Saccharomyces cerevisiae S288C: one gene and its partners. The main gene of each other region encodes a partner of the protein of the gene in region 3 in a complex. Each region holds a gene or a part of one and is shown on either strand. Other genes may lie near its edges. A codon is read from its position in the direction of its gene.

What was found. Proteins that work in one complex are often made in the same cells at the same time.
Region 1: the proteins of TAH11 (region 3) and MCM6 are in contact, whole or in part, in a cryo-EM structure (PDB 5XF8), measured with the Saccharomyces cerevisiae proteins. Residues at the interface, in NP_012580.1 of Saccharomyces cerevisiae: Gln502 (codon at 2,665), Tyr505 (codon at 2,656), Leu509 (codon at 2,644), Ser522 (codon at 2,605), Leu523 (codon at 2,602), Gly526 (codon at 2,593), Gln527 (codon at 2,590), Pro528 (codon at 2,587), Asp540 (codon at 2,551), Ser545 (codon at 2,536), Lys552 (codon at 2,515), Glu553 (codon at 2,512); in NP_011314.2 of Saccharomyces cerevisiae: Ser171 (codon at 3,970), Pro271 (codon at 3,670), Thr272 (codon at 3,667), Val273 (codon at 3,664), Phe504 (codon at 2,971), Asn506 (codon at 2,965), Ser507 (codon at 2,962), Leu508 (codon at 2,959), Ser510 (codon at 2,953), Asp511 (codon at 2,950), Ile513 (codon at 2,944), Lys517 (codon at 2,932).
Region 2: the proteins of TAH11 (region 3) and MCM2 are in contact, whole or in part, in a cryo-EM structure (PDB 5XF8), measured with the Saccharomyces cerevisiae proteins. Residues at the interface, in NP_012580.1 of Saccharomyces cerevisiae: Ser210 (codon at 3,541), Thr211 (codon at 3,538), Met212 (codon at 3,535), Ala213 (codon at 3,532), Thr215 (codon at 3,526), His244 (codon at 3,439), Thr245 (codon at 3,436), Ser331 (codon at 3,178), Gln346 (codon at 3,133), Ser349 (codon at 3,124); in NP_009530.1 of Saccharomyces cerevisiae: Thr219 (codon at 3,379), Asp220 (codon at 3,376), Glu221 (codon at 3,373), Thr222 (codon at 3,370), Gly223 (codon at 3,367), Arg224 (codon at 3,364), Val226 (codon at 3,358), Ala229 (codon at 3,349), Arg230 (codon at 3,346), Leu258 (codon at 3,262), Pro301 (codon at 3,133).

Annotation. Positions count from the first base shown.
Region 1 is NC_001139.9:116,428-122,487, forward strand, and holds MCM6 (MCM DNA helicase complex subunit MCM6), read right to left. Parts: upstream 4,481-6,060; coding exon 1,427-4,480; downstream 1-1,426. Other genes in the region: ARO8 (bifunctional 2-aminoadipate transaminase/aromatic-amino-acid:2-oxoglutarate transaminase), read left to right, coding at 1-1,134. UniProt on the Saccharomyces cerevisiae protein: Acts as a component of the MCM2-7 complex (MCM complex) which is the putative replicative helicase essential for 'once per cell cycle' DNA replication initiation and elongation in eukaryotic cells.
Region 2 is NC_001134.8:173,494-179,112, forward strand, and holds MCM2 (MCM DNA helicase complex subunit MCM2), read right to left. Parts: upstream 4,034-5,619; coding exon 1,427-4,033; downstream 1-1,426. Other genes in the region: NCL1 (tRNA (cytosine-C5-)-methyltransferase), read left to right, coding at 1-1,095; ATP-dependent Lon protease PIM1, read right to left, coding at 4,381-5,619. UniProt on the Saccharomyces cerevisiae protein: Acts as a component of the MCM2-7 complex (MCM complex) which is the putative replicative helicase essential for 'once per cell cycle' DNA replication initiation and elongation in eukaryotic cells.
Region 3 is NC_001142.9:520,317-526,215, reverse strand, and holds TAH11 (Tah11p), read right to left. Parts: upstream 4,169-5,899; coding exon 2,354-4,168; downstream 1-2,353. Other genes in the region: ANB1 (translation elongation factor eIF-5A), read left to right, coding at 835-1,308; Hsp70 family ATPase SSC1, read left to right, coding at 4,614-5,899. UniProt on the Saccharomyces cerevisiae protein: DNA replication licensing factor, required for pre-replication complex assembly. Faithful duplication of the genetic material requires 'once per cell cycle' DNA replication initiation and elongation.

The sequences.
Region 1 (6,060 bases), on a different chromosome or scaffold from region 3:
ATTATCCACGATTTGAAGTATAAGGACTGGGACGTTTTAGCCACTGCAGGTAACACAAATGCCTGGGAATCTACTTTAAGAGTCTTTTGTAACCGAGGTGATGTCATCTTAGTTGAGGCACATTCTTTTTCCTCTTCATTGGCTTCTGCAGAGGCTCAAGGTGTCATTACCTTCCCCGTGCCAATTGACGCTGATGGTATCATTCCTGAAAAATTAGCTAAAGTCATGGAAAACTGGACACCTGGTGCTCCTAAACCAAAGTTGTTATACACTATTCCAACGGGCCAAAATCCAACTGGTACTTCCATTGCAGACCATAGAAAGGAGGCAATTTACAAGATCGCTCAAAAGTACGACTTCCTAATTGTGGAAGATGAACCTTATTATTTCTTACAAATGAATCCCTACATCAAAGACTTGAAGGAAAGAGAGAAGGCACAAAGTTCTCCAAAGCAGGACCATGACGAATTTTTGAAGTCCTTGGCAAACACTTTCCTTTCCTTGGATACAGAAGGCCGTGTTATTAGAATGGATTCCTTTTCAAAAGTTTTGGCCCCAGGGACAAGATTGGGTTGGATTACTGGTTCATCCAAAATCTTGAAGCCTTACTTGAGTTTGCATGAAATGACGATTCAAGCCCCAGCAGGTTTTACACAAGTTTTGGTCAACGCTACGCTATCCAGGTGGGGTCAAAAGGGTTACTTGGACTGGTTGCTTGGCCTGCGTCATGAATACACTTTGAAACGTGACTGTGCCATCGATGCCCTTTACAAGTATCTACCACAATCTGATGCTTTCGTGATCAATCCTCCAATTGCAGGTATGTTTTTCACCGTGAACATTGACGCATCTGTCCACCCTGAGTTTAAAACAAAATACAACTCAGACCCTTACCAGCTAGAACAGAGTCTTTACCACAAAGTGGTTGAACGTGGTGTTTTAGTGGTTCCCGGTTCTTGGTTCAAGAGTGAGGGTGAGACGGAACCTCCTCAACCCGCTGAATCTAAAGAAGTCAGTAATCCAAACATAATTTTCTTCAGAGGTACCTATGCAGCTGTCTCTCCTGAGAAACTGACTGAAGGTCTGAAGAGATTAGGTGATACTTTATACGAAGAATTTGGTATTTCCAAATAGAGAGGTAAATACGTTGGAAGAATATATATAAGGTGAAAAAAGGACGTACGTATTTTTGTATTGCTTAAATTTCGAAGTATTTTTTCTTTTTGTAAAAGACTGCAAGTGGAAGCCAAAATATAATATTTTGTTTTTTCATTAAGAGTACAACTTTATACAACAATTATAACTTGATTTGAGAGCCAAGTTATGTAAGATATTTTTCTCCCACAAAGAGAAATGCACACGATAGGAATTTACAACGTGAACGATACTTGAAACGAAATATGAAAATCCGCAAGAGTGCACTGAATTAGCTGGAATCCTGTGGTTCCAATTGATCCAAAACCTCACAGTTTGGATGAATAACATAAACAGTTTTATTATTTTCATTTTCCTCATTCTCAAGATCTCTTAAATTGTGTCTGGTACCATGAATCTCCATTAAAATCCTATCTTTGACCAACCTTTTTATGACTTTGAACGCTAATCTTCTCTCTTCCCAATATTCTGCTAACGAACCCAAATCATTTTCCTTCTGTAATAAATACCAATCAACTATATCCACAGCTGTTAGTTCTTCTGCACCCTCCCTATCTACTTCAGCAATCTTTCTAACGATCATGTTCATCATGGACACATATTTATCATACGTCACCGTTGTTTTCTTCTTCTCGCTTGTACCTGGACGAGCTGTAGCTTCGCTTTGTCCTTCTTCTATATCTGCTGGTGGCTCACTCGTAATTACACCTGACCCAGTCCCATCATCATTGTCATCATTGTTTCCAGAAGCGGCGTGACTTTGACTCTCTATGTTATCAAATTCTTCATCCATTTCCACATCATCCACATCAACACGAATAATACTTTGCCTTAAAAGATCGTAAGCTTCTGCAATGAATGATGGAGTAATTTCATCGACACAATTAGCCCTCGCAATAGCTTCTGATAATCTAATCATACTTTCAAGTTGCCTAACTGTGATTCTATAACTCGATCTACTAAATCCCTGGGCATCATCCTTTCTCAGTTCCTTATACTTCTCGACTAAATAGGAACGGGCTTCTTTCGTTAATATTGGTTTAAAAGTACGTGCATATTTGATATAACGACGTAGTTGTTCTGCACTAAATGGCGGCTCAATGGCTTCGTCTCTTTTCATGTGTAAGTCAACGATATGAGATGCCAATTCGGTATCAATTTTTTCGTTACAGTCATCAAGAATAACAAAAAATAAATCAAATCTGGACATGATCGGTGCGGTCATATTTAAATTACCCCTCAGTGATAGTTTCCTATTGTATCTTCCACCTACCGGGTTGGCAGCCGCTAGAATTGATGTTCTTGCATTTAAAGTAGCGTGAATACCAGCTTTAGCAATAGAGATGGTCTGTTGTTCCATAGCTTCATGAATGGCAACTTGATCTGAAATATCCATTTTATCAAATTCATCGATACAACAAATACCGTTATCAGCAAGCATTAAAGCACCTGCTTCAATTGTATAATCACCTCCTTCCTCATCTCTCACAACCGCAGCTGTTAAACCAGCAGCCGACGAGGCCTTACCGGAAGTGTAAACTGATCTTGGTGCAAATCCCACTACGTATTTTAAAAATTGAGACTTAGAAGTAGAGGGATCACCAACAACACAGATGTTGATATCTCCTCTTAACTTAATACCTTCTACAGTACTCTTATGAACACCACCGAGCATCTGAAGCAAGATACCCTTCTTTACGGCTTCATGGCCAAACACAGCTGGAGCAATAGATCTGACCAATTTATCATAAATATGTTCATCCTTTACCATTTCCTTCAGCTCATTTATTTCATCTGAACTCAAACTGTTCAAGAATACTTCTTGATCTCTTTCATTATCTTGGTATACATTATTAGCTTGTAAATTAGCAGCCATCTGTAGTTCAGTTTCTCGGTTGTTAGAATTTGCATCAGGGCTACTTGCACCAATGTTTGATCCAATACTGATAACATGGCATGCCAGAAAGCTAATCTTGTATGTCAAATCACGAACACCAAGAGAGCGTAAACCAGTAACACCACTATTCAAACCTTCAGTAGTCTTCGAAATACCTCTAGTATCTAATGTTGAACTTGGCTTCACACCTGGTAGCCCCAATTGTGTAACATCAGGTACTACAATTTCCACACCCGTAAATTTGCAACGGTCACCTGGCTTGGCTCTTTCGACACTATCACCTCGAAGAATGACGTCCAGCGTACGCGGCATGGAGCCTGTAGGTATTTCGTTAGCATTTTCTTGAATTCTGACTTTTTGCCAATCAAGAAACCTGGATCTTGTAACATTTAATGTCCAAAAGGCTCTATTTTCGCATGATGGGTTCGGGCAAAATGTCGGTTCAGTGTACTTGAAGGACTGTTCTACGTTATCTACGATAGCACGGCACATATCACACGTAAAGCTTGCCTTGTATAATTCTGGACGGACCTCAGATGTTCTTGTCACTGTCCCTGATATACTCAATAGTGAACCAATCTTTTCAGATCTTATATCACGAATTCTGTGAACTGTTGGTAGATTGAAGAAACTGATTTGAAAAACACGTTCCGTCTGTTCAGGTGACGTAGAAGTTGTTATTGACCTCGTTGCCATGGCAGATGTCCCATTCCCTGGTGCGGCTGATGATCCAGAATCTCTTGGTAGACTCGACCCATTCATATCATCGTCCTGTTGCTCATCTTCATCCGCTTGACCTTCGTCACCTTCGGATCTCTTCAATGAGTCACTTGTGTTTAACAATTCAGGTGCATACTTTCTTACTACTCTTCTTAAACCCTTTTGTAAAAAAGGCAAAAATCTGTAATATTGTTCTGAGATAGCCATAGCTAGAGCACCATTTTCTCTCATGGATAAATGCTGATAATCTATATAAATGGTGTTTAGGTCATATATTTTCATAAATTCAATTTGAGCTCTATAAACTTTTTCAACTTCACCAGTATCAGTGGATTGAACGGAAAAGTCTTCCAAAAACTGCTCGAACGCTTCACGGACTTTTTCACCAGTAACGTCATCAACTTTCTTAACGTGATTCAAAGCTCTACTTTTGAAGCTTCTGGCAGGTTCATTTCCCTCCATATCATTAGTCGCGGAACCATCGGTTTGCAACCTTTGAGAACTAAACTGAGTGGAATCGTTAACAAAAGGGCCTGTTTGTGAATTACTGACATGCGGTTGAGAAGAACTTGGGAAATGTAACCTAGAGCCTATTTGCGAATCGAGTCCGCTACTGCTTCCGAAGCCAGCACCTATCGACGATGGTGGCGGAGAGGAGTTGGAAGGTCTATTACTGCTTGGTGTGTCAGCTGGAAAAGGGGATGACATTGAAAAAAACCAGTTTTAACCTTTGGTAAGTCTATTTTTCCTATCCACCGGTGGCGAAGTGTAAGATACTCGCTGTAAATCACTTAAGAATGAAATATTTTGTTATTATTGTAGATTAAAGAAAGAAAAAAAAAAAGCTTCAAGAAAGGCCTATTAGGCGCTTTTCCTAAAAAGGAAATTTAATAGACGAACTTAGATGACAATACCAAATAGCGAAGGAACGGCAAAAGAATAGGTACACAAATGTTATGAGAACTGGAATCAAAACAAGCTATTGTTTGTCGACGAATAGTAATGTTACTAGTATATTATGTGCGGTGATAATATGATATAAATCGCGAAAAGGGTAAACCCAGTAAAAACTGAAATGCAAGATAAATAACGTAATGGGGTGATGTATGATATCGTATAAAACACAAGAAAGGATAACAGCACTATCATGCAAAATTGCTTATTTCTGGTATATTCTGGATTCCGAATGACACTTCCCTTACTGGAAAATCGAATTCAAGTGACCATTTAAATGGTCACCTATTTCTCAGGATGACCGCTAATTCTTCTCATCAGGGTTTCCCAAGTTGTTAGCAAACTGTATTGATATCTTTTTGCGGGAGTGAAACCAACTATTCAGCTCAGTATCGGATTAATCTCTCCACTTAATGCTACGGAGTTCTTCCAAACATTAGTACTGGTGCCAGTATCAGCACCACATCAACAGGTGAACTCAAAATTACATTAGTCAGGAGCAGTACACCCGTTAATCGTGGGAATCTCTGTACTGAGGGTCAACTACGTATCGCGGAACTAGGGGTCCACTAGTGTATGCGACTGCGATTCATATAACACTTTAACGTCAAAACCGTATACAGTCCTCATCCGCCTTGGGGGCCAGCATATTATATATAAAAACTCCTGAAAAACACTTACCCAGAGGTACGATAATGAATGACGCTTATGTGATTTATGGTTAACGCAGTACCCAAGACAAGTATGCAGCGTTAACTCCCAATCAAAGAAAATATAGTGGATTCTAATCTGACGAACTACGGACAGTAATTGGTATTTTTACTCATTAGTGACTTTGGTAATGCCCTATATTTCACTAGAAGGTGTCACAGTGTCACAAATTTTACATCACAGTTCCCTTTCGTAAGATCAAGAATATGGCTGACTATAGTGGACATCTTCTTACACCGTATATAGTAATATATTGCTAATATGAGCACTAGTTGATTCTTGTTCCAACAGTATATTCCAAACATGTGTTAATCACGCGTTGATACAATGTGGCTCGGCTACAAATCAGTTATTAACATCGTGAGCTATGTTTCCCTGAAATGGGGACGTTTTCCAACGAATTAGCCTTGTTGGCGCAATCGGTAGCGCGTATGACTCTTAATCATAAGGTTAGGGGTTCGAGCCCCCTACAGGGCTATTCTTTTTTTGTTCTATATGAACAGAGCTATTTCCCTTCTAAGAGTCCCACATAAAAGTGCTCTGGGGAAAAACGGACCACAGCATGTCCTGTGGTACTTGTTTCTTTCAAGTTTTTCGTATGTATTTCCCATTTTTTGATTCGC
Region 2 (5,619 bases), on a different chromosome or scaffold from region 3:
GTTGCCGAAGCGTTAAGAAAGTGGGGTGACAAGATTAGATTAGTTAACTGTGATGATAAGCTTCCTGGCCTAATAAGATCCAAGGGTGTATCCAAATGGCCTGTCTATGACAGAAATTTGACTGAGAAAACCAAAGGAGACGAAGGTACACTAGATAGTTTCTTTTCACCATCTGAAGAAGAGGCATCGAAATTCAATTTACAAAATTGTATGAGGGTTTATCCTCACCAACAAAACACAGGCGGATTTTTCATTACTGTTTTCGAAAAAGTCGAAGATAGCACTGAGGCGGCTACAGAGAAACTATCTTCTGAAACCCCAGCTCTAGAGTCTGAAGGACCTCAAACAAAGAAAATAAAGGTAGAAGAAGTCCAAAAGAAAGAAAGACTACCACGTGACGCGAACGAAGAGCCTTTTGTTTTCGTTGATCCACAGCACGAAGCTTTAAAAGTTTGTTGGGATTTCTACGGCATCGATAATATTTTCGACAGAAACACTTGTTTAGTGCGTAACGCCACTGGTGAACCAACAAGAGTGGTTTACACTGTGTGTCCAGCATTGAAGGATGTTATTCAAGCGAATGACGATAGGTTGAAGATTATTTATTCTGGTGTAAAATTGTTTGTCTCTCAAAGAAGTGATATCGAATGTTCATGGAGAATCCAAAGTGAATCATTGCCAATAATGAAACACCATATGAAATCTAATAGAATTGTTGAAGCTAATTTAGAGATGTTAAAACACTTGTTAATCGAATCTTTCCCTAACTTTGACGACATTCGTTCGAAGAACATCGATAATGATTTTGTTGAAAAGATGACAAAATTAAGCTCTGGTTGCGCCTTTATTGATGTGTCAAGAAATGACCCTGCCAAAGAAAACTTATTCTTGCCTGTGTGGAAAGGCAACAAGTGTATCAATTTGATGGTTTGTAAAGAAGATACTCATGAGCTATTATATAGGATCTTTGGTATTGATGCGAATGCCAAGGCTACTCCAAGCGCTGAAGAAAAAGAAAAAGAAAAAGAAACGACTGAATCTCCCGCAGAAACTACTACCGGAACCTCTACTGAAGCTCCTAGCGCTGCTAATTGATAGTTATCATGTTTCTTATCCCCTCCACTGTAAAGTAAATGTATATTATTAAAAGGCAAAAATAAGAATATAATACTTCAGTAATGAGCCTTTTTTATTCGGTCTTGTTACTTCTTTTTTACTTCATTTTTTTTTTTTTTTTTGGATAGTAAATAATGCACTTTTGACTAGATCTTGAGTATTTAGTTGAATTGAAATTAAAGATACAGTGTATAAAAATTATACAAAAAATAAAGGAAACTTGTATATTGAAAATAGGATTGCCAATACATGGATTGAGACAGAGAATTTTTTATCTTCATATCCAGATATTCGTAGGAATAACAAAGTTTTAGTGACCCAAGGTATAAATTGCGAAAGACCTGCGGAGTTGGCGGCGAACACTGACTTTTTGGGCATCAACAAAGGAATCAACTACAACTTTGATAGCTCTATCCAAATCATAAGAAGACACAAATTCAGATAATCTCATTTTAGCAAAAGATTCTGCAATTCTTAGAATAGATTCTAAATGACGAACTGTGATTGGAAACGAACCTGTAGAAATACTTTCTCTTCTCAAATCCGCATATACCCTGCTAACCTTATCCATATCCATCTGATGCAATTTAGGGTATATTTTTGTCCTCGCATAGTGAATATATTTCATCAATAATTCCTGTGGAATAGGCGAGATCTCTTCCTCCTTCTTCCTTTGTCTTTGAAGTCTTCTTTGCCTTGCATTAAGCTGCTCATTTATTTCATCTTCTCCTTGTTCTATCGCCGATTCGCCATTATTTTTAAGCTCTTCGCCTTCTCGATCTTCATCGTTTTCTGGATGAGATCTTACATGAGAATCGACAACAAATGTGGCCAATCTTTCGTCTGCCTCTTCATCAACAAGGTCTCTGACAACACATAAAATATCAAATCTAGACAGAATAGGCTCGGTCAAACTAACATTCTGAGCTAAAGGCAAGGTTGAATTATATCTACCACCATTAGGATTTGCCGCAGCAATAATTGAGCAGCGCGCTTGTAATGTAGTAACAATACCGGCCTTGGAAATGGAAATACTTTGCTGTTCCATAGCCTCATGAATAGATGTACGATCCTGATCGTTCATCTTATCGAATTCATCAATTAAACAAACACCCTTATCAGCCAATACTAGCGCCCCCCCTTCTAAGGTCCATTCTTTAGTAATAGGATCTTTTCTGACGGATGCTGTCAGACCGACAGCCGAAGCACCCTGACCAGTTGCAAAGACCGCTCTATGCGCTGTTTTCTCGACGTATTTTAAGATTTGAGATTTGGCAGTACCTGGATCACCTAATAATAACACATTGATATCACCACGAATAGAATGTTTTCCATTGACGTTTTTTGGAACACCTCCAAATAATGAGCACGCGACTGCAGTTTTAATATCTCTATGACCATAGATAGACGGTGCCATCGATGATATAATTTTATCAATTATACCACGATCCCTAGAAATCTTTCTAAATTCACGTTCTTCTTCTTCAGTCCAACTGAAAACATCCAACCCTTCTTCGCCTTCGTTAGCTGTATTGCCCTCTCTTCTTTTTATAGAATTTGCCTCGATAATTGTTGCAAAAACGGGGAATCCGTTCTTTGCATTCAAGTTACCATCGTAGTTATTTTTGTAGATGCCGGTAACTTCTACCTCTTCACCTGGCTTGGATACATCTACCAAATCCGCCAACAAAATGACTTCTCTATGTCTTGGTAGACGGCCTGGAGGAACGGTTCCGGGAGCTTCCTGGAGCGTAACCCTTTGATAATTTCGGTACACAGTTTTTTCTCCATTGACTCTAAAGGGACCTTTTGATTTGCAGTTTGTACAGAATGAGATTCTAATTTCTTCATTAGAATCTTGAAAAAATGGGCCCAAAATGGAGCCACATTTCAAACAATTGAATTTGACATATTTTAATTGAGGGAAGACTCCTGTTCTTCTTGTCACCACCCCAGTGACGCGTACTAGAGAGGACAAATTAGACTCACGCAATTCACGTAAACTGTATATTGTTGGAAAATCAGAGATTCTTACGTGAATTTCGGAGTGAATACGGGCATAATCTGGGTAATGCAATTCTGTTGCCTCCATAGCCACGAGATCGAATATTTTCAACATTTCTTCTGGACATTTAGCTAAAAATAGTGCCAGGATGGCTTTGGACTCCGCTAAGTGTCTATAATTAACCTCCAAAGATTCAGAATTCATTTCACCTAATGTTCTAATACGTGCACCATATACAGAACGACCCGTTTCATCTGTATATTCCAGCAGGAATGATTTTAACTCTCTGGCAATAGTTCTTGAGACATTAGGTTGTGTTATCCATTCCGAGTAACTGTTAGCCTTAACGTTACTCAGAGATTCTAAAGTAAGTTCTTCTCTTAATGGGTCAATGTCCATGTCACTCAATAGATCGTCATCACTATTCTCTAAGTCCTCATACTGCCTTCTCCTTCTTCGTCTTTGCACAGGAAGGCCCATTTCATCAAGTTGCGCTGCACCTTCTTGTTCTTCGTCCTCGTCATCTATGTAGGCAACATTTCTCAATAGCCTATCTCTTTCATTTAGTTGAGCATCAATGCGGCGACGTTCGCTTAAAGATAGTTCTTGTTGTTCCCTGTCGTCAACTTGATCTGGATCATATCTATCTCTATTATGATCAGCCGCATAATCCTCATACATATTATCGTCCATCAAATCTACTTCGTTCATTTGTTCTTCAACTTCATCAATATCTGGTACATCGTCAACTTCATTATCGTCACCTTCAGGGTTAATCATATCTGGAGAACCAATAGGTGATGAAACTGGGTTCATCCCCCCTCTAAAATGTTGCTGAGGTGAGGATGGCGGTAGCTCATTTTCTGAGTCCGAATCATCTTCCTCACGTCTACGTCTTCTATTATCAGACATCACTTATATTGTAGTTGTGTTATACTTCTTAGAAAAGAGGCAAAGAGGTGTGTGGAGTATTATTAAGTAAACTGTACCAAAATGTGTAGATTATAGGATATTCACCATTTACTTTCTGGTTTCGTTTCTCGAAATTTTTCGTTGTCCTATTTTCTTCGGTAAGTAATTAGATTTCCTAAAAAAGGCATATGATAAATAATATTACACGCGATTCCGCCATCTTGGGTTTCCCACATACATACTTCACGAAGAAAAGAAAGAATTTAGTATTGTGTAATAAAATTGATGTTTATGTTTAAATATTTACAGAATGTTTAAACAGGTATTTAATCCATTTAGATGAAAAGTTAGTCCTTTTCCTTTTTAGCATCCAAAATCTCAAATTCAGCCTTCCATACTGAATTACCTTCTTTCGTATTCACATCCTTGAATAATTTTTGGAATATATCATTATACCAATCAGCAGCTAAAGGTTCCAACCCTTCCTTTACATTGTCTGGAAGTTCCTCCCAATCATTTAAGTTATCTTTAGGGAAAATAATAGTCTTGGCACCAGATCTTTTAGCGGCCACAGCTTTTTCTCTCAACCCACCGATACGTAAAACTTTACCGGTAAGTGTCAATTCACCGGTCATCGCAACCGTTGGGTCAATCGACTTATTCAATGCTAGGGAAAGGAAGGAAGTGGCCATAGTGACACCTGCAGATGGACCATCTTTAGGGGTAGCACCTTCAGGACAATGCAAGTGGATAGACGCCTTTTCAAAAAATCTGTTCTCAGGGAATTTTTGTGCTAAATACATCTTGGCGAATGAATAAGCAAGCCTTGATGATTCCTTCATAACATCTCCCAGTTGCCCGGTCCTTTCAAATGTTGGATGCTTGCAGTTGTGTAAAGGTTGTTCAAGGACAGATTCTACATAAAGTGAGCAACCTCCCATATTAGTCCACGCCAACCCCATAACTACCCCTGGTGGAGTTGTTTCGTATAACCGGTCTGTAGTGTAGACTGGAGGCCCAACGTAATCTTTTAGGTTTTTCTGGGATATGGAAACATTGATCTTTTCAGAGGTCTTTAAGGCTTCAATGTCATCGCTTGTCTTTTCCGAATTATTGTCCTTAGTCTTCTCCGATGAGCTTTTGGCGTTATTTTCCGCCTTTTCTTCGGAAGAAACGCTTTCTTTAGGCTTGCTGTCGGCTGATGACGTTGGGGAATCTTCAATACTCAACTTCTTTACCACTTGTAGGGCTGCTTTACGGTATATTTTCTCGATGTGTTTTTTCAAATTCCTTACACCACTTTCTCTACAGTAGTACTTCATTAACGCTGTTATTGCATCTTCTGTCATATCAACATGAGAGTTTTCTAGACCAGCGCTTTTCTTGGCACTTGGAACTAAATACTGCTCGGCAATCTTAACCTTGTCTTCAGCAACATATCCTGTCAACTCAATGACTTCCATACGATCCAGTAAAGGTCTTGGAATAGTTTCCAAAGAGTTAGCAGTGCAAACGAAAAGCACTTTTGATAAGTCAATAGGAATATCCAAGTAGTTATCCAAGAAGCTGTTGTTTTGTTCAGGGTC
Region 3 (5,899 bases):
TATACATACAGAGCACATGCATGCCATATGATCATGTGTCGTCGCACACATATATATATGCCTGTATGTGTCAGCACTAAAGTTGCCTGGCCATCCACGCTATATATACACGCCTGGCGGATCTGCTCGAGGATTGCCTACGCGTGGGCTTGATCCACCAACCAACGCTCGCCAAATGAACTGGCGCTTTGGTCTTCTGCCATCGTCCGTAAACCCCGGCCAAAGAGACCGGAAAGATCGGTGAAAACATCTTGATCTTGCTCCCGGGAATTTTAGATTCAGGTAGGAAATTGATTACATCAATACTGTTACCCTGAATCATATTCGACGATGTCGTCTCACACGGAAATATAATTCATTTCTTGGTTTTCCAAAAAAATTTTCATTTTTTTTCACTTTTTTGTTTCGTCCTCCTTTTTTTTTTTTTTTTTTTATTTTTTTTCCTGTGTTCACCTTTTTTTTTTTCAGTTGACATCTTTCTGCATTCTTTTCTGTGTTTTTTTTTTTTTTTTTCGTTTTTCCATTGTTCGTTCGTTGCCTGTTTTTTCGCCCTATTGTTCTCGAGCCTAAAAATTTTTTCCTTTCCTGCTTTCCTTTCTTCGTTCAAAGTTTCCTATTCCATTGTTCTCTTTGGTAAACTCATTGTTGTCGGAACTCAGATATATTCAGGTCAATTTACTGTACTTCAATTGACTTTTTTCTTGAAATTTCAACTTGCCTTTTCAACTTGTTCTTCTTTTTTAATCTTATTCTACACTTTAGTTCCCTTACCTTGTTCCTAATTATTGTCTAGCAAAAAGAAAACATACACCTATTTCATTCACACACTAAAACATGTCTGACGAAGAACACACCTTTGAAAATGCTGACGCTGGTGCCTCCGCCACCTACCCAATGCAATGTTCTGCCTTGAGAAAGAATGGTTTCGTTGTCATCAAAGGTAGACCATGTAAGATTGTCGACATGTCCACTTCCAAGACCGGTAAGCACGGTCACGCCAAGGTCCATTTGGTTACCCTTGATATCTTCACTGGTAAGAAGTTGGAAGATTTGTCTCCATCCACTCACAACTTGGAAGTTCCATTTGTCAAGAGAAGCGAATACCAATTGTTGGATATTGATGATGGCTACTTGTCCTTGATGACCATGGACGGTGAAACCAAAGACGATGTCAAGGCACCAGAAGGTGAATTGGGTGACAGCATGCAAGCTGCTTTCGATGAAGGTAAGGATTTGATGGTCACTATCATTTCTGCCATGGGTGAAGAAGCTGCCATCTCCTTCAAGGAAGCTCCAAGATCTGATTAGATATTTTAGATTTCTATAGCTTACAAAATACGCGATGTTTTTTTGATCTAGAAATCTTATTTATACATTTTATATAATATTATAATAATCATAATCATAATTATTCATCCTAACTAACTTCGTTCTGTTTCAGCTACGAAGTTGCCTTCATTATCGCTACGTTCGTGTTAATTGGTGTTTGATACCATAGTCACTTATGACGACGTGCAGAACTTTTTTTTTTGACGGATATTTTCCCCTCAATATGCCGAGGATGATTACTTTATAATTTGCCTTCTTTCGGTTCCTTCTTCTTTTTAATTTAGCTGACGGGAACATGTGTATATACCCCAGAAGAATTTAAACAGAAATTTTTTTGAGCATTTTACGAAAATATTAAAAACTAGGGCTACAGATATCAGAGAAAAAATTACTTATATGATGACAATAACTTAATATCACAGTCACTATCGTTCTCGCCTTTATATGCGCAGTGACAGCATTCGACTTTTCCTTGGAAGGGACCCGATCAACGAAACTTCAAAAAGAGTAGAAGTCAAAATATTTTTTGCACGACGAGGGTGACAGACCGTGCTATGTCCACAAATGAGGCCCTGCTTTCCCAAGATAAATTGCGTAAACATATAATTGTTACAAATCCAAGGCTCTGTGATTTCTTCACCAAGTGTAGTTGTGATGTATGATGTGTAGGATAAGTAATGACCGGTAAATCAAGCTGGTAAAAAGTCCTAATAACAAGCCCGAATCTGGAATAATGGTAATATTCCCATGCCAGGTGGACAGTGTTGTCCTTAAACAAACTCAAGAGATTAAAGGCAACTTGGCCGAGTGGTTAAGGCGAAAGATTAGAAATCTTTTGGGCTTTGCCCGCGCAGGTTCGAGTCCTGCAGTTGTCGTTATTTTTTATTTCCCTTTCTTTTCGTACATACACAATGCACAGTCTTCAAAGTAAAATACCAACGTATGTATCAAGATCAATTTTTTTTCTTTTTTTTTTTTTTTTACCGTAAATGTACGTATTCTACCTTATATCTAAAAATATTCTTCAATCTTGTTGTTTTGATTTGTGGATTTGCAACAGCTTAGAAAATCTGTTTTTATCCAAACTGTTCCATCTATAAACTTTTAACCCACCATCCACTTGATGAACAGATATGTCCATTGGTAGGATACCTTGTAGCCCAGCTAAAATTTCACTTGCTTCTTTTGTACCGATAGGATTATTACTATCTTGTAAACTATCTACGATTAGCGAGCTTAGATATGTCTCTGTATAAGGCTGGCCCCTGGTCAGCGAAAAAAGAATATCAAATACCTGAGTCATTTTCATCGCTAGAAACTGCTGGTAACGTTTTTGCCTTTGAGAAAGCAATGCGGCCGAACGTCTCTCTCTTTCACGCAGTCTGTCCATAAGGTTTGCTTGCGAATCAGGCATCTTCTCTTTGTACATGAAATTTTCCTTACTATTCGCCAAATATCTTGAGTTATTCAAGGCATTAGCATTAGAGCTCTTCGTTTGCACTTTACTGCTCAAGACTGTTTTAGAATTAGAGCTGGACCTTCTTTTATTTATTTTGAAAGCGGGTACATCAGTCATAATCTCATCCTTGGAAGCTATCACTTGTTGGTACCACGACTCTGCCCTTTCCACGAATGCCAAAGTCCTAGACTTATTGGTCAACGTTGTTAGATTGTCTCTTTTGGGTAGATTCATGGTCAGCTCCCCTCTAGAGTTCAGTTCCACTACGTATGCATCAGACCAAATGGTCAATAACTTCAAAATATCATCCTGCACTATTTTCCTTTTCATCATGCTGGATATCTGGGGTAACAAAACGTGCAGCTCTGGTGGGACGCCCGTGGATCTGGAAAGAGCGTTTAAAGACAATACAGTCTCGCAAACAGTAAACAACTCCTTAACAAACTTCATTGCGTCTTGGAGTCTTAGAATACTAAGCTCCCGTGGGTAGTATTGCTGAGCGACTTTTGGGAAAGCCTTAATTTGTTGCTCCAACAAATGATTGGCAATCGTACCCTCTCCTTTACTCGAGATTGGCGTAGTAAGTGGAGGCCAGATGGTCAACGAAACAATGTTCGCACGAGGATCTATCTGGAGTGGTGAGGTAGTGTGCATACCTTGAGACCAGCGCGCAAGGAGGGTCCCCGTGTGGAACAGAAGACAATCGGGTTCATCAATACTCACCCAAGAATTGTCCGTCGTCGCCATAGTCGATGGCTTGTACCTTATAGCCTTGGCACAGGGGAAGATGGTCAACACGCCCGTCGGAAGAAAAGTAACATAGTCCCTTTCAAACAGGTACTGGAAATCGTCGCCAGTGGGCAGCACGGTAGCACCTGCATCTGCACCATCGTGTGTACTACCATTATCATTGAAATAACGGGTCAGCTTAGTCGCATAATGAGAGGTGCTGATACAGTCTTGCAATTCTGCGCTAGAAACCACACTTTTCACACACAGTTGGGCGAAAAACAGACCCAGTTTGAACAGCCTACTATATATGGAGCACAGTGACTCATTCCTGCACTTCCGATCGAAGCGTAATTGAGGATCAGTGTCAAATATGTACTGCTCCAGCCAAACATCATCTTCTAGCGGTAATGTACCCGTAAAGTTCGCATCAAAACCTTGACTCGTGTCAGGCAGGTCCTTTGTCGTGAGCCCCGCTAGTAGTGCATCTAGAACAGCCTTGTTAGCATAATTTTTTAACAGAAAGGTGTCATGCTGTAGCAAAATTGCCCTCACCACCGGCAACAGCTGCTCTTCATCTGAAACTCTATTCAAATCTATCACAGGCACGCGCAAAACCTCCTTCCTCCTACTATTAGCTGTGCCACTCATAAATCACGACGCTACGTAGTTCAGCTCACTGTCATGATACCAACTACCGCAACTAACATCTGCTTATATTAAACTCTTCCGCATCATCGCAATGGTACAATGTGCTAAAGCTAGTGCCTTAGATGCGCTGAATAATTGTATATCACCCACAACGGCAGAGCTTTTCCATGGGCTTCGGCCCGGTTCCACCGCCCCCTGCCTCTTTTTCCGGTGACCGCTTACGGTGCGGTGTATAAAAACGAACGATCCAACGCCGGCTCGACGCTTGGGAACTTTTGGGTTCTTTGTTCCACGTTTGAAAACTCCATACGTTGCTGTCCTCCTCTGCCTGCTGTACATATCGACGCCCCGCTGCTCACCAACCTTTGCCAGAGTGACAACTTTTGTATTTACGACCCATTTAATATAATTAAGACTACACAAATCTCATATTATACGCACCAAGATGCTTGCTGCTAAAAACATACTAAACAGGTCAAGCTTGTCTAGCTCTTTCCGTATTGCCACACGTTTGCAGTCAACCAAGGTTCAAGGTTCCGTCATCGGTATCGATTTGGGTACCACCAACTCTGCGGTTGCCATTATGGAAGGTAAAGTTCCAAAAATTATTGAAAACGCCGAAGGTTCCAGAACTACTCCTTCTGTAGTAGCTTTCACTAAAGAGGGAGAACGTTTGGTTGGTATTCCAGCCAAGCGTCAAGCCGTAGTGAACCCAGAAAACACCCTATTTGCTACCAAGCGTTTGATTGGTCGTCGTTTCGAAGACGCTGAAGTGCAAAGAGATATCAAGCAAGTTCCATACAAGATCGTCAAGCACTCCAACGGGGATGCTTGGGTTGAGGCCAGAGGTCAAACTTACTCACCAGCCCAAATCGGTGGGTTCGTCTTGAACAAGATGAAGGAAACAGCTGAGGCCTACTTGGGTAAGCCAGTTAAGAATGCTGTTGTCACTGTCCCAGCTTATTTCAACGACTCTCAAAGACAAGCTACTAAAGACGCAGGCCAAATTGTTGGTTTGAACGTTTTACGTGTCGTCAATGAACCAACCGCCGCTGCCTTAGCTTACGGTTTGGAAAAATCCGACTCTAAAGTTGTTGCCGTTTTCGATTTGGGTGGTGGTACTTTCGATATCTCCATCTTAGATATTGACAACGGTGTTTTTGAAGTTAAGTCCACTAACGGTGACACTCATTTGGGTGGTGAAGATTTCGACATCTATTTGTTGAGAGAGATTGTTTCTCGTTTCAAGACCGAAACTGGTATTGATTTGGAAAATGACCGTATGGCTATCCAAAGAATTAGAGAAGCTGCTGAAAAGGCTAAGATTGAGCTATCTTCTACCGTTTCCACTGAAATCAACCTGCCATTTATCACTGCTGATGCCTCAGGTCCAAAGCATATCAACATGAAGTTCTCCAGGGCTCAATTCGAGACTTTGACAGCCCCACTAGTTAAGAGAACTGTCGACCCAGTCAAGAAGGCTTTGAAAGACGCCGGTTTGTCTACTTCAGACATATCTGAAGTCTTATTGGTCGGTGGTATGTCCAGAATGCCTAAGGTTGTCGAAACCGTTAAATCTTTGTTTGGTAAGGACCCATCTAAGGCCGTCAACCCAGATGAAGCTGTTGCCATTGGTGCTGCTGTGCAAGGTGCTGTCTTGTCCGGTGAGGTTACTGACGTCTTATTATTAGATGTTACCCCATTGTCTCTAGGTATCGAAACTTTAGGTGG